Arabidopsis thaliana: one gene and its partner. The protein of the gene in region 2 interacts with the protein of the main gene of each other region in a pairwise test. Each region holds a gene or a part of one and is shown on either strand. Other genes may lie near its edges.

The links. The genes of interacting proteins can lie anywhere in the genome.
Region 1: the proteins of GAMMA-ADAPTIN 1 (region 2) and MPK18 interact in a two-hybrid assay, tested with the Arabidopsis thaliana proteins (one large-scale study listed by BioGRID).

What each region holds. Positions count from the first base shown.
Region 1 is NC_003070.9:19,969,834-19,976,058, forward strand, and holds MPK18 (mitogen-activated protein kinase 18), read right to left. Parts: upstream 4,561-6,225; 5' UTR 4,326-4,560; coding exon 4,302-4,325; intron 4,094-4,301; coding exon 3,685-4,093; intron 3,589-3,684; coding exon 3,461-3,588; intron 3,371-3,460; coding exon 3,311-3,370; intron 2,975-3,310; coding exon 2,825-2,974; intron 2,737-2,824; coding exon 2,581-2,736; intron 2,462-2,580; coding exon 2,250-2,461; intron 2,116-2,249; coding exon 2,014-2,115; intron 1,808-2,013; coding exon 1,632-1,807; intron 1,559-1,631; coding exon 1,128-1,558; 3' UTR 501-1,127; downstream 1-500. UniProt on the Arabidopsis thaliana protein: Mitogen-activated protein kinase (MAPK) that is specifically regulated by PHS1 and MAPKKK20 and mediates signaling that regulates cortical microtubule functions, maybe through regulation of microtubule dynamic instability.
Region 2 is NC_003070.9:8,439,048-8,447,090, reverse strand, and holds the start of GAMMA-ADAPTIN 1 (gamma-adaptin 1), read right to left. Parts: upstream 6,013-8,043; 5' UTR 5,713-6,012; coding exon 5,681-5,712; intron 5,638-5,680; exon of another isoform or gene 5,324-5,637; coding exon 5,021-5,323; intron 4,846-5,020; coding exon 4,704-4,845; intron 4,606-4,703; coding exon 4,432-4,605; intron 4,168-4,431; coding exon 3,988-4,167; intron 3,464-3,987; coding exon 3,309-3,463; intron 3,075-3,308; coding exon 2,984-3,074; intron 2,881-2,983; coding exon 2,717-2,880; intron 2,584-2,716; coding exon 2,529-2,583; intron 2,377-2,528; coding exon 2,254-2,376; intron 2,169-2,253; coding exon 2,073-2,168; intron 1,947-2,072; coding exon 1,819-1,946; intron 1,573-1,818; coding exon 1,468-1,572; intron 1,368-1,467; coding exon 1,105-1,367; intron 945-1,104; coding exon 702-944; intron 613-701; coding exon 437-612; intron 316-436; coding exon 211-315; intron 35-210; coding exon 1-34. Other genes in the region: AT1G23890 (NHL domain-containing protein), read left to right, coding at 6,288-6,342, 6,427-6,597, 6,914-7,078, 7,210-7,410, 7,496-7,593, 7,679-8,043. UniProt on the Arabidopsis thaliana protein: Subunit of clathrin-associated adaptor protein complex 1 that plays a role in protein sorting at the trans-Golgi network and early endosomes (TGN/EE).

The DNA.
Region 1 (6,225 bases), about 12 Mb from region 2:
ATTTCAGATCAATTAAAATAGAATGAAATTTTGATAATTAATTAAGTATGTGTATAAAGAAAGAAATAAATATATTGCATCGTTTTCCAAATTATAGTGATTGACGAATAAAATATGATTTTCCTTATTTTAGAAGGTTAATCGTGGTATTTAATTAAAACACCTGGTTTATTTATGATATAACGTAGACATGTCAGTTCAAATATTTAATTAGTTGATTACAAAGATAAGTACATGTCAACCTAAAATTTAATATCATCATTTCAACCCAAAAAAAACCTGAGATTATATATAACGGATCATTCAATGCAAGATGCTTAATGCCACCGTCACGTAACGAAATAATTGATTTGCTTCCTTTTTGGTTAATAAATATTAAATAGATCAAATGTGTACACTTTCTCATGACTTGTTAAATTGAGAAAGTGATATTCGTTATGATTAATGGACGCCTAATATTACCTTTAATGGGCTAAACTCAGGCCTACAAACTTGGCGGGTAAATTATAAACATTTCAACGGCGTCAAAATTTCGAAGTTAAGGCGAATTTCATTGTTAACCATGATGAGTCTTGAGGTCAAGAGCATTCCTTTTTTTCATTGGCAAGTTTTTTTTTTTCTTTTTGTAACCATTGAATAAAATTGACTAATTATATAATCTGAGAAAGAGTGGTTTACAGAAGAAAAATCTAAGGACCAATGTTTTATTTTGTTACTTCCACATTCTTCGGCATAATGTTGTCTATATTAACCAATCAAGACCATATTTTCCAATAACCAAAGAGATTCCTTTTTTTGTTGAAGAACAATAAAGACTAATGGGACCGATTAAGAAGTTTAAGAAGTATATAATCACCACGATATTCTTCTCTACGGTGAACTACGCTTATGGCAAATTCAAAGATTATGGAGCCAACAAGATAACCGAAACAATAACCGGGACTGACCCGCAATCAGACTAATCCAAGGCGATCTTGTTCTGGAGAGTTACAACTAAATAAAAGTCTTTCTTATATCATTGCAACGTAGTTCATATCAGAGCCTGGACTGAATAATACTTACATAAAAACTAGAGAATCACCTGGTGGAGGAAGATGTGGTGGTTAAAGATCTGTCTGAAGTGTTGTCTATGATGCTGCGCTGTAACTAATTGTGCCTATGTTCCGGTGTGCTGCTACTGCAACCGCTGCAGCTCCTGCTGGACCAAACTGTGATTGTGCCTGCAACAGCTTAGCATCAATGGCCATATGTGTGTTGTTGTTTAATTGATCTGTCTTCGGGAGCTGTGGTTGAAAGTAAGGGTTTGGGTGGTTCATAGTCTCAACGTCTGCTTGGTTAGTTGTAGCAGCTGGTGGCTCAGTGGGACTGAATTGGTGGACAGGATTTTGTGGCTTTGGTGGAAAAGACGAAGCTTCTATGTTGCGGTTCTCCGGGTTTGTCATGGTGTTTGGTCGGAAGTAGCAATGAGGAGATGAAACCGCGCTTCTGAAATAAGCTTCTTTGAGGTTCCTGCCATTCTCATAAGATACAGATGATTCCACAACACGACCTGGTCTACCTGTAAAACATAGGGTGAAAGTTAGTTGAAGTTTCTAACTTTAGGAAATAATATTTGGAGATATGATTGAGACCTGATGGTGGAACTCTTGGTGGAGGTCCGATGGATTTAGTAGGATACGCGGAAGTTGATGGATGTCCTGCAGAAGAAGCTCCATTTTTTGAAGGCTCGAAAGAAACACGTCTACTATCTGTTGCACCCAAGTTGGGTTGCGAGGTGGAATGGACTACAGTTGAGTGAACCGTAGACCTGTGGAAAACAATCATATCTATTAGAATTAGAAGAGTAGAGAACATATGAAAGTTTTTAGAATTAGAAGAGTAGAGAACATATGAAAGTTTGCTTGAGGCCTTCGACCATATGCTTCACAAATGCTAAGCAGTAGCAGAAGAAAGAACAAAAGAATAAGCATATTCCCTACAGTCGACTTGTATATAAAGAATGAGAAAACATACCGCGGTAGTGATGCGTGTTTCCTCTCGAGAGGTATGACCGGCCCATTTCTACTGCTATTTTCCTCTAAGTAAGTGAACTGCTGTCTAAGATGTCCAATGGCGCTGCAAGTGAAAAAGTAAAAACATGAATAAAAAGCCAGGCAGAGGTACGCGATTGGACATAAATTCAACGGGAGAAAGAAACAAGAAATGTTTCATTTGGTAAATAATAATAAAAGGTAGGAAGAAATTCAAACCTAGGATATACAAAATTAGACCCCTCAGATCCGCTCATATAGTCCTTGAGCAACTGAGGATGGTACTCCAGTATTTCTCTGTATATTAGTTCTCTAATGTCGTCCTTTGTCAACCTTCGCCTCTCAAATTCAAACTCCATTTTCGAGATTTGCTGACTTGAAGGTTCTCTTTCAATCTTAGAAAGACCCTTGAAGTAAGGATCAGCTAATGCCTATCGAAAAACAAAAAGATAGCAAAGTAAGCAGAGAGATACACACAAGACGCAAGGCAGCTTTACAAAGAGGACCGAAGAAGAATCTAATTACAAAGTGAAAAAGACAGAAAAGAGACCTCTGCAGGAGTCGGTCGATCCTTTGGATCGAAAGCCAACAGCCTCTGCAAAAGACGGAGTGCTAATGGATCTGCTTTGGAAAATTTTTGCGAGAAGGTGACAGGATTTTTCTTCCTCATTTCAGTCAAGTATTTTCTAGCTTTATCATTACGAACCTGCATCAGAGAAATAAATGTTTAGCTATACAGTTCAATATATATACGTACTCCAGAAATTAATGTGAAGAAGAAAAACGGATCATACTCCAGAAATTGTTTCTGATTTTGGTGTGCCAAGAAGATCAGTAATCAACTCCAACTGATGGACAACACTTTTTCCCGGAAACAATGGCTTCCCTGTTAGTACCTCTGCAAAGATGCAGCCAATGCTCCAAACGTCGATAGCTGGAGTGTACTGCAGAATAATTTTGACTGTAAATCAGATTATGATGAAAAAACAAAATCCATGAATATGAAGTTGCAGATGCAAAAGAAACCACTCAATGAACATAACCTGATACAAGGTTACCTGATTCATAGATTTTCAACTTCGGGGAGAGTTCAAGTCATCCCTGAACAAGAATTATTTTAATATCCCACTGGGGCACAACTCTATACTTATACAAGTAACATCAAATATCAGCTATTAACACTAATCTGCATATATTCTACACTAAAGAAGACTAATCTGTTCATAAGACCTAAGCATAGCCAATTAGAATGCATAGAAGAAATCCACAGTAACACCTACCTTCGAAAAGAATGATCCACAGAGCTCAGGTGCTCTATACCATCTTGTGGCAACATAGTCCTGCATTGCGATTAAATGAGTCAGAGAGAAAAATCAAACACACAAATTAACGGCTAACAAACAAAAGGTCTCCTCCTCGAGGCTACTAACCGTCCAAAAGACTGTCGTAGGAGTATCATTAAACGCTACTCTAGCCAATCCAAAGTCACAAACTTTCAACTTGCAATTTGCGTTTGCAAGTATATTCTTTGGCTTAAGATCACGGTGATAAACATTAGCTGCATGAACAAAAGGATAACAGTAAGTTACAACCAGAAAAAATACAAAACATGCTGCCAAGATTCACAGGTCTGAAACAATGAAACGAATCACACCTGTATGCATGAACTTTAAAGCACGAAGCATCTGATAAAGGAAAAACTGGTGGTGTTCACGAGTCAAATCATCATTAGCTTTAATAACTTGATGAAGATCTGATTCCATGAGCTCAAACACAACATAGATATCTTTAAACTCTCTCTTAGAAGGAGGCAGCATAATGCTTTTGATCTCCACAATATCAGGATGCCGTAAAAGCCGAAGAAGCTTCACTTCACGGAGAATACGAAGCGCATCAGAAATATGTTCAAAGACATCATTAATCTTCTTAATAGCAACTTTCTCTCCAGTATGTGTATCAATAGCTGCACACACAACTCCATAGCTTCCTTTACCAATAACTTCCAGAATCCTATATCTGTTTGCATCACCATACTCTGTGAAAAACTCCATCTCTTTCGTGCCCTAGTGAATCACAAAAGTAGACAAAACACAAACTTTATCCACACATCTTATTTATGCTCATGCAACAAAACCAAACCTAATTGCAATTGAAAAAGGAAAGATTTTATTTTTTTTGTCTTTAAATTTGTAAAAGGATAAGACTTTATCCTCTGTTTCCCACATTTAGAATCAAAGCATGATTGAGAGAGATAGAGAGCAAGAAGCGAACCTTCTTCACTTGATTTTGTTGCATCTTCTTCTTCAAAATTATCAAAAATCTGGATCGGCTTTTCGAAAAGTAAAAAAAAAAAAAAAACCTAGATTGCTAAGAATCCGAAAACTAGAAGAACTCAAAATCAAGCCCAGTCTGTGAAGAAGACGATACAGAGAAGAGCAAAACCTAGATCCAGCGATCGAAGAAGAAGAAGACGAGAGAGGATTTTAAAAATACCGAATTTGAGATATTTTTTCTAAATTTGAATAAAAATAATTTCTAATTCTAGCAATTTCTCGTGGTACTTATTGCGTACGGGTGTGACAAATCCCAGATAGTGGCAGTTTCGTAGTTTTAGACAACATTTGAGGGTAAAGTAAATATTGGTTTTCTCCCACTGTGGTCTGTGGACGACCTTTTTGGAAAATGACCCAATGGTTTAGACACCTGTTGCTGGACTTGGACCGTTTTATTTTTCTTAAATTCCGATTTTGACCCCTATCTTAATTTTGTTTTGATTCTAACCATTCTTTTTGATAAGTGGTCAATTTAACCCCCACGTGATAGTATTTCTCGTACCACTGAAAGGAATATTATTAACATTATCTCAATTTTGCTTATTATATTCCTTGATTTAAATTTTTAAGATTGAAAAATCTATATACAATTGACTAATTCATATGTAAATAAATATTGTTGAAGGATATTTGTCTTAGATTTTAATTTATTTTGGTAAAGACGATACACGATTAATATATTAGGATAAAATACCATCTTTGATGAACATTTATTCCATGTAAATCAACTAACCTTGAGAAAAAGACCTTCCAAGTGTCAAGTTGTTTGCTTGATACTATGGGATGATAAAAACAAAATCAAAAGAAAAAAAAAAACTGCCATCCTCATTGGTATATGACTTAGTATTTGATAGAAAATAAAATAAAATAAATAGATTAATAATTTTGCAATTCGTGTGAAACTAATATTCACATGTCAATTTACACAATTTGGCTTTTGTATTTATTGAAAAGACCAACATATTTAGTGTCTGGCTCATATTAAAAGTTTATCACAATAGGGGCAAATCCACAAAAAGGTGAAGATTATGATAATATTATAACTGATCTTGATTAAAACAAATCCAACATCTTATTATTCATTTGTATCTGAGGCATTCAAATCCAAAGTTGGTTCATTATCTAAAGTACAAAATATCATAATTTCAAATTATCATACTCCATATAATTTCACACTATACGACGATGTAGGTGGTGCATGTGTCAATTTATTGTCAATATTTTAAGGCGTTATAACTTATAACTAAAGTTGATCCTTTTTGCATATTTCATTGCTTTTCATTTTCTTCTACTTTCGGTTTTAAAATCATAATTTTACTCTCTTTTGACTAAGTGCGCATTTTAAAATAATTATCGGCCAAAGATAAATATAAATGATGGTTGACTGGTTCTATCTATTTAGACCAGGCTCTGCATAATATATATAACCAGCATATCTATTTTTAAAATAGTTTTAATGGTTTTTCAAAATGATATATATAATATTTTGAATTGCAAGTTTAATAATTCGAAGATATATATATATATATATATAATCATGAGTCAGAATTCAACAGAGTGGACACAATATTACCATTCATCACATGAATCATGCTTTTCGTGTATGTATGTTTTAGAGTTTTGACTGGAGGAGCCAAAATATCTCCACCAAGCAGATTTATTTTGTTTGTTTATTTATTTGAGTTACATCTTATTAAAATTCCATGAACCATATATAATGATAGAAGAAAAAAGGGATCACCCATAAATAATGATAATTTGTGCACAACTATATATTATTGTTTTCTTAACTTTTGGTTGCCAACAACTCTATATTATTAGTGCAAATATAATAATGTTGATGAATAAAAGACAATGCATCC
Region 2 (8,043 bases):
TGTACCCAATCCTCATGCGCATCACAAGAGATTTCTGCAATAAACATTAAACCCTTAGTGTTATGTTAAGTCACTGAATCCACAGGCTCAGCCTATCTTTATTTGAGCATAGATTATGTTGTGGATCATCAAGTGCTATTCATCAATGCTGAGCACGGAATGTTGAAGACATAAAGTTAGATAGAAAGACGAACAGAGAATGTGCCATACCTTCCCCTGCTGGCTGTTAGTGACTCTTAGATTCTGCGTGATGGCACCACTACCGCTTGCCAGGAGTGTGTTACTGCTAGCTGGATCCAAGTGCAGCTGGAGGAACTGGAAGTTACACAAAAGAAAGAGAAGGTTAAAGAAAAAATTGAAATCTATTTACTGCTTTATCAATTGGGAAAGATGAATAAAGGGGAAAAAAGCAAAAAAAGAAGATAGATGTAATTACCTTTGGAACAGCAGCCTGGAATATAAAATCTGTGAAAGTATTGGGAGATAAATTAGTAAAAGTAGCCTGGACATTTGTCGTTTGCAGATTCCCTGGTGTCTTTGAGAAGGTGAACTCAATCTTCAAGGAGCTGCTCTCGTATGCAACAATAGGTGCATAAGCTGGACCATTGGTGGCTGCAATAAGGAGGAAAACTTGTTATTGACCTTTGTAAAAGAGTTTCAATGATTATACAGATCTTTTTCAGGTTAAGACTTTTTCCTACCTTCCTTCGATGGGCTTGGAGAAAGACCATCTAGCAAATCAAACATACCGGTGGACGAAGTTGTTGCTACGTGAGGTGGAGCTGGTGAAGAAAGTGTGTCTAGCGCAATTGAGGGATTATTGTTAACGTCAGCTATTGATAATAAACCAATAGATGATGTGCTGTTTTGTGCAGGAGAAGGTGTTCCAATTGATAGAATATCCAGCAACAGATCTGTGCCAGCTTTTGGAGCCTGGGTTGCACCTGAATCATTGGATAAAAAATGGAAGACCAAACATGAGTTATCCTTTTGCAAGGCAATGAGGAAAATGATTTTTTTAAAAACTTGTTCATTCAGAGACACATAGCAGATGAGCACGCCATAATATGAACGCAAGAGCTGTAGAACCGCCAAAGAACTAACCATATTGTGCTGACGATGAACCTAAGTCTACACCGAGAAGATCCTGAAGGAAATCTGTACCAGATGGACTAGGTGCAGCCATGATATCGTCAGAATCTAGGTCTAGCAAGTCCACAAGAGGAGCGACAGGAAGTTTCTCAACACCATTTTGAAGGCTAACTGAAGGCTTGGCCATGGTTGAAACTGATGCAGGAAAAGAGCCGGCCCTCCTCACATTGAAAGTAGCCTCATCCAGTACCGGCATTCTGTCAACCAGAGAAGACCTGTATGCACACATACCTCTATCATGAGCTTTGAGGGAGAGAGAATATGAAAAACTTACACTAGAAGATAGATGAGGAAGAGAGGCACAAGGGATTCCACCTGATATTTTTATGCCTGTCAACTATAGAATTGTATTCAATAGCTCTCTGCTGCATTTCAAGGAGAAGGCTTCCTTTCTGCTTCACAATTATGTCTTTAATTCTCCTGTCATTGAATTTTAGAAAACTTTTTAATTATCAATAGAGAGTTGAGGACAGGATGTACATGTATAATATATTTCTAATCTTTTTTCAGAAGGCAACGCGCTACAGTTTCTTGTAGACAGACCAAAATTTATTATTCATATACTAGTGCGCATATGCATCTTGTGTAGAGTTGAAAAGGGATAAGTGCAGATATCAGATGAACGAGTTGAGATAAAAACAGATAGCACAACGAGGTCAGACATACTCTGAAATAGAAGGAAAGCGGGATGACAACTTCAGTAGAGCAACCAATGCCATTGCTTTTGTAGTCGAATCTGAGTTATGGCGAGTAATGGCATCCTCGATAACGTCCACTGCATCAGATTCCGTTACCTGCTCAAGGCAGTCACATACTCGTTGCATATTTTTCAAAGCAAAAATGAAATCCCAAGAAGCAAAAGCATCTGCATATTTATCATGGAGCAAATAATGAATTAAGATTGCCATTGTGATGCTCACCGTTATTGGATCTTCAATACCAAGCATCCCCACATTGTTAACCAACAGATCACCATATTCCCCAATGCACCATACCGCCACTCGGACAAGGGTCTCCTGGTTATCATCTCAACGAAACCATATTAGAAAGGGTTACAACTGATTGAGGACTGAGCACAATCTAACATTAGAAAATAGCTACCTGTTCCGAATAAGTCAAGACTGATTTGTACAAGGCCCTAACTGTATATCCATGAAGCTCTGATGCATTGCTTATGACAACAATAAGTGCATGCCACACATCATCTTTCACAAACTTTCCAGCCTACTAACATGGAATAGATGACAATAGGTTATGACAGATACAAACAATGCATTTGAAATTAGCTTAAGCAGATATAAACTCTCAAACGATTTCAAAGAGTGCAATTAACTGGTAACACGTTACAGAGCATATTCTCGCGTTTGAATCCATACCTCACACAGAACCTTGAGCATCTGATCAATGTACCATAGTTTTTCTGGAGAAAACCTACATTATCAAAAAATTTAAAAAGTCAACAAAAACTTCAATCAACTAGACATTCACAGTAACTTTCCAATCATCCTGACCCCCAACTTTCTCAGAGTAAGTAGTCATTCTATTTCTTAAATAGAATACTTACTTTTCAACGATAAAACAAATTTTTGCACTAAGATCTTCCTTAAAATCTTCGTCGCTGATTTCCAAATAATCAATTAGCTCCTTTGTCAGTTGTGTGACATTGTTTTCATTCACCAAAAGAGTGACAAGCTCAAGAGCTCTTTTCCGGATAGAAGCATCTGGGTCCTATATTGTTATGGAAGCAGAAACCAAATTAGCATTTTTTATTTCTCTAAGATATACTTAGCAGTTAACATTGTATAAAATATTTTCCTGGTAATACTAATACCTTCACACATTCCAAAATTGTAACTCTGTGCCTTTGCACTGCTTGATCATCGAAAGTGATAGCTTTCATCAGCATGTTTAATGCAACATATCTGAGAGAACGAAAGTATGAATTTCATAAGGGAATGCAGCGTTTTTGAGAGAAACGAAATCAAGATTAGAAAAGGCAACGCTGGTTGGTCAGAAGAGCATTGTGTGCTTCATAGAGTTAAGCACATCCAAAGAAAGATGATAGACAGAAGAAAAATACAAGTAAGCTAGTTCCATTACAAACATATATAATACCATACTATTATCAAATAAAATTGAGGTGTAGGGGGTTGAACCTGATGTTATTGTCGCGGTTAGATAAGAATCTTCCCAAGATATTGATAGCAAGCACACGCAAGCTATTGGTGTCTTCAATGGCCATGATTGTTTCAACACACTCATAGAGTACCGCATTCCCTGCGTTTTTGTTTGATTCAGTTTTTGTTGCCACCTACAATAGCATGAAACCAACGAGAATAAATATCAAAGAACCAGGATAACAAAGTATCCGACAGTAGATCCCTGACTTTGAACTCAAAAGATTTCCAAAACAAAGCATGTAACAGACGCAGGATGCATTCATCATGGTGAGATAGAAAAGGATTGGCGCAGCCTACAGATTTATATGTCCGTCCACAAATCAACACTTACTATGACAACAAAGACCGGTATCAAAAGAGGGAGAATTCAAGTACGGCAAAAACTCAGTAACCAATAAGTCTTCTATCTACCAAAGAGAATAATAGCCCATGAACCCTATCAACGAAATGAAATTCTTTCTCCATTATGCTATATTTAACAGAATCAGTTCCAGCACATGAGAGAGCATAGCTATCTTACAACATTTTTCCGAAAAAATATATGTAAGGTAACTGGAACAAAAACCATAAACCGTTGATGTTTAACAAAGGAATTACATCGCAAATGTGAAGATGGTCAACCATATCCAGAATCACTTGCTAAACTATGACTAACCTGTGCAAGTATATCTGTCATCAAATCACTAGCATCAGCATCACCCTGGCCTAAAACACGCAAGAGCCTGAGCAACCGTATGTGGAGAAAAGGGTCTGTGATCCCTGCAACATCATACTCAGGCTGATATGCGCTATTAGTAATATCCCTCAAAGTTTTTATCAGTCCCTCTGTGCATTTCTGCAGAGACAAAACAAAGACAAGGGTTTGTCAAAACTGACGGTCTGATAAAACAATATAACAACCTGATTGTCTGCCTCATTTCAGCAGAGTAATCTATTTATAAGTGAATACCACAGATATCAAACTTTATTGCAAGAGAAAAATAGTACACAAAAGCATCATACAGGTAATATAGTATCATATGTACGCATATTCAATTAAATTACGTCGATGCTCCTGTATGCATAAGTAGAGTGTTCTGTATAATATTTATAGACTTACCGTTCTGAAGTACTCTAGGGCTTCATCATTAATCGTGCATAATTCATAACAAAGTTGAACTCCTGTTATAAGAACCCCATGATGCTTTTCTTTAAGCAAGGAAGCAGCAGCATTTACGAAGTTTTCTGCTAGATCTGGAACTTTCCTTATTATTCTAGTAGAGCAAAGCGCCGCCTGCATATAATACAACATAAATGGTAAAGGCAATGAAGGAAAAAAAAAAAGCGACTAAACTCCAGGAGACCCTGTATATGAATTAGAAAACACTTCACCTTCTTTCGGATATTAGGGTCACGAAACTGGATTAATCTTTCTACTTCTGGCGCAAGATCACGGGCCATTTCTGCTGAACAAATATTCCCTAAAGCACAGAGAGCAAGTCCTACAACATACTGGTTCGAGTGATTAAGATCTCTGCACGTGACTTAAGGTTAAACAGGAACAAATCTATTTAAATATTTTTCTCCTTAATTCCCATAACAGCAATGCAATCAAAAATCAAGTGTTCTCTAGTATTTTTTAACATAGAAGAAGAATCCATTCAAAGGCCAAGGTATCAAGATTTAATACTAGAAATTAGTAAGGATACTGTTTTAACGAATTTGTGACAAGCATCAACACTTCTTGTCTCTCATCAAGAAGCAACATTAGCCCTAGATATCCAATCCTCTTCTCTGGAAATCCAGGAGATGCAATTAGCTTCAAGCACTCCATCTGCCCAAAGTGTGTGGGATAACCCAGCATGTGTATAAACATGAGTTTCGCAAGGTTCCGGTGCCGATCATGCGGGTCATCTTCATTAATCAATGCTCGAATATCGGCACACTCCTTTCTTACAACAGCTCGCTCCTCCGCAGCTGTTTTGCATGCTCTTATGGCACGGATCATGTCCCTGAATCATACTCATATGTCCACTATAACTTCAGAACCATATACAATAATCCGATCTGATTCCACTATTAAACCCCAACAGCAACATGACCAATCCAATATTCAATTAAATTAAGCAAAAGGATTACCAAAAATCCTTAGTGTGATCATGTTCTTAGACTAAAATCAAAATTCTAAATGGAATCAGAAACACCAATACCAAATTCATCTTCGAAACAGGCCAATCAACAAAATTCAATCCTCAAATGAAAACGAGCTCAATTACATCATGTTATATTCAAATTTCATTTGTAAGCTGATCAACGACTAAGAAACCTGAAACAGAAACGATAAAAAGGAAAGAAGAGAATCAATTTACCTTAAACGAGTACCAGAAGAAAAGGGATTCATGATTTGGGGTGTTCAAGAGTTGGACCTTGGTCCACCGGCAACTTTACGAGGAATCTGAAGAAAATGAAAACTTAGCCGGGAAGAAGAGTTTCGCCGCCGGGATTGTGAAAATCCGTTACCGGAGTTTCGAGTAGCTGATCAATACGAGAGAGAGAGATGAAAATGAAACTGAGGATTTGGATCTCGATGGACGATGCTCGTTTTTTTCTTCTCAGTCTTCGTAAACCATAATTGCCAAATTAAATGCGTTGTATAAACATGACTTCCATTTCCACCTAAACGGTAACGTTTCGACCAGCAATCCTCTCAAAACAAAAACATAGACTGGGCCGTTTCTTTATAGTTAAACACATAAATGGGCCCTACTTGGGCCGTTTTTATTAGTCAAATTTGAGAGGGTCGATGATACGCGCTCTTTCATTGGTTGTTACACAAATTCTCCCCTACACTTGAACACATCATAGTATCGCTCAGGCCCTAGTATCTTTTTAAAACCTTTAAAGATGCTAAGCAGCAAAAATAAGTAACACAACACAAGTTACACAGAACAGTCGCTTTCTCCTCTCGATTTTGACATGGCTTGGGGATTTTCGTCCGTGTCTCTCTTCTTGTTCGTCGTTTTCAATCTGGGTATATTTTCAAAAATCTGTTAATTCAGTTGAATTTCCCAACCCAAAATTCGAATTTTTAATTTTCCTCATGATTTTGTTACAGTGAGTGGTAAGATAGTTTTAGAAGAAGGGTACGAAGTCACAACGGTGGTCGATGGCCATAAGTCTGGTCTGAATCCATACACGATTCATGCTTTACCAGGATCTTCTAATCTGATCGTCCTTGATTCTTCCGGCAGTACATTTTACACTACTTCCTTTCCTTTGTCCGTTGGTAAACACCCACAAAACCACTCTTTTGTCTCATCTATTAATCGGATCATTATAATTGTGTTTGTATATGAGTTGTAAATTCATGGATGCATAAGTAAATGTTTAGAGCTTGTTGATTTTGATTGCAAGTCTTGACCTTCATTTTTTCTTTCTCCGTAATCTCAAATTGGACCACAATACTAATATGTGTGTGTATGTGTGTGAAACGATCAACCTGCAAATAAAAGTTCTAAACTTTACTATAAGTGAAAATTTTGTTTATCTTTCTTTCAATTGAAGTTTGAGCTCACTTTGAGTATGTGTGTGTGGTTGTGCAGATAGTGTGATAAACCGGTTTGCTGGGGATGGGAGTTCGGGTCATGTAGATGGTAAAGCTGGTAACAGCCGGTTCAGCAAACCCCGTGGTTTTGCTGTGGATGCTAAAGGGAATGTTTATGTTGCTGATAAGAGTAATAAAGCTATACGGAAGATCAGCTCTTCAGGTGTTTGTTTAATCCATTTCTTGTATTCCTTTTGTATAAATGCTAGTTGTTGTTGTTGTCTAATCTTAGTTTGTTGAAAGAGCCACTTAGTTTATTTTGATTATGCATGTTTTATTTACTGGACTTTGTAGGTTCTGTAACCACCATTGCTGGAGGGATCTCAAAGGCATTTGGACACAGAGATGGACCTGCACAGAATGCTACTTTCTCTAGCGATTTCGAGATAACTTTTGTTCCTCAAAGATGTTGTTTGCTTGTTTCTGATCATGGAAATGAAATGATTCGCCAGATAAATCTTAAGGAGGAGGATTGCCTCGAAAACTCTCATTCTAGTATGTCTTTTCTATAAGTAATCTTTTGTGGATTTGACTAACCATGCCTTTGGAAACTTCAACGATTCTTCTTTCACTGTTTCAGATTTGGGGACATACTCTCTTTGGTCAATAGGGATTGTCCTTTCCTGCATTCTCGGGGTAGCCATTGGATTTGCTGTTCGCCCTTACGTCATCCGTCATGTAAGTTTTTTTTAATCTATCCTCATATTACATACTAGTGTATAATCAACATATCAAATCTCTTAAACCAAATCGTTATAGACAGGAAGAAGTGAACCACCTCTCGTTCATCATGACATGGAAGCTTCTCCTAACCAAATTGGGGGAACAAGTTCTGACCTTCTTCTCCTACATTAGAAACCGAGTTGCTGAATCAACCGTTTATTCAGTATTAAGTAGACTAGTTATGATGATCGTGTCTCACCTTTCCCTCATGTATTCCGCCCTAAGTAGTTTAATTTGTTCGATGGTATCTAGCCTTTTCTTCATGTGTCAACCCAATAATGTAGCTATTTTAGACAAAACAGTCTCTGTGTCTGATCCCGAGAGTCCAGGTTGCGGCAACCCAAAGCCGCCCCTTTCACTGAAACCCTCTGATGATCTTATTGACCTAATAAGCTTTGATGATGA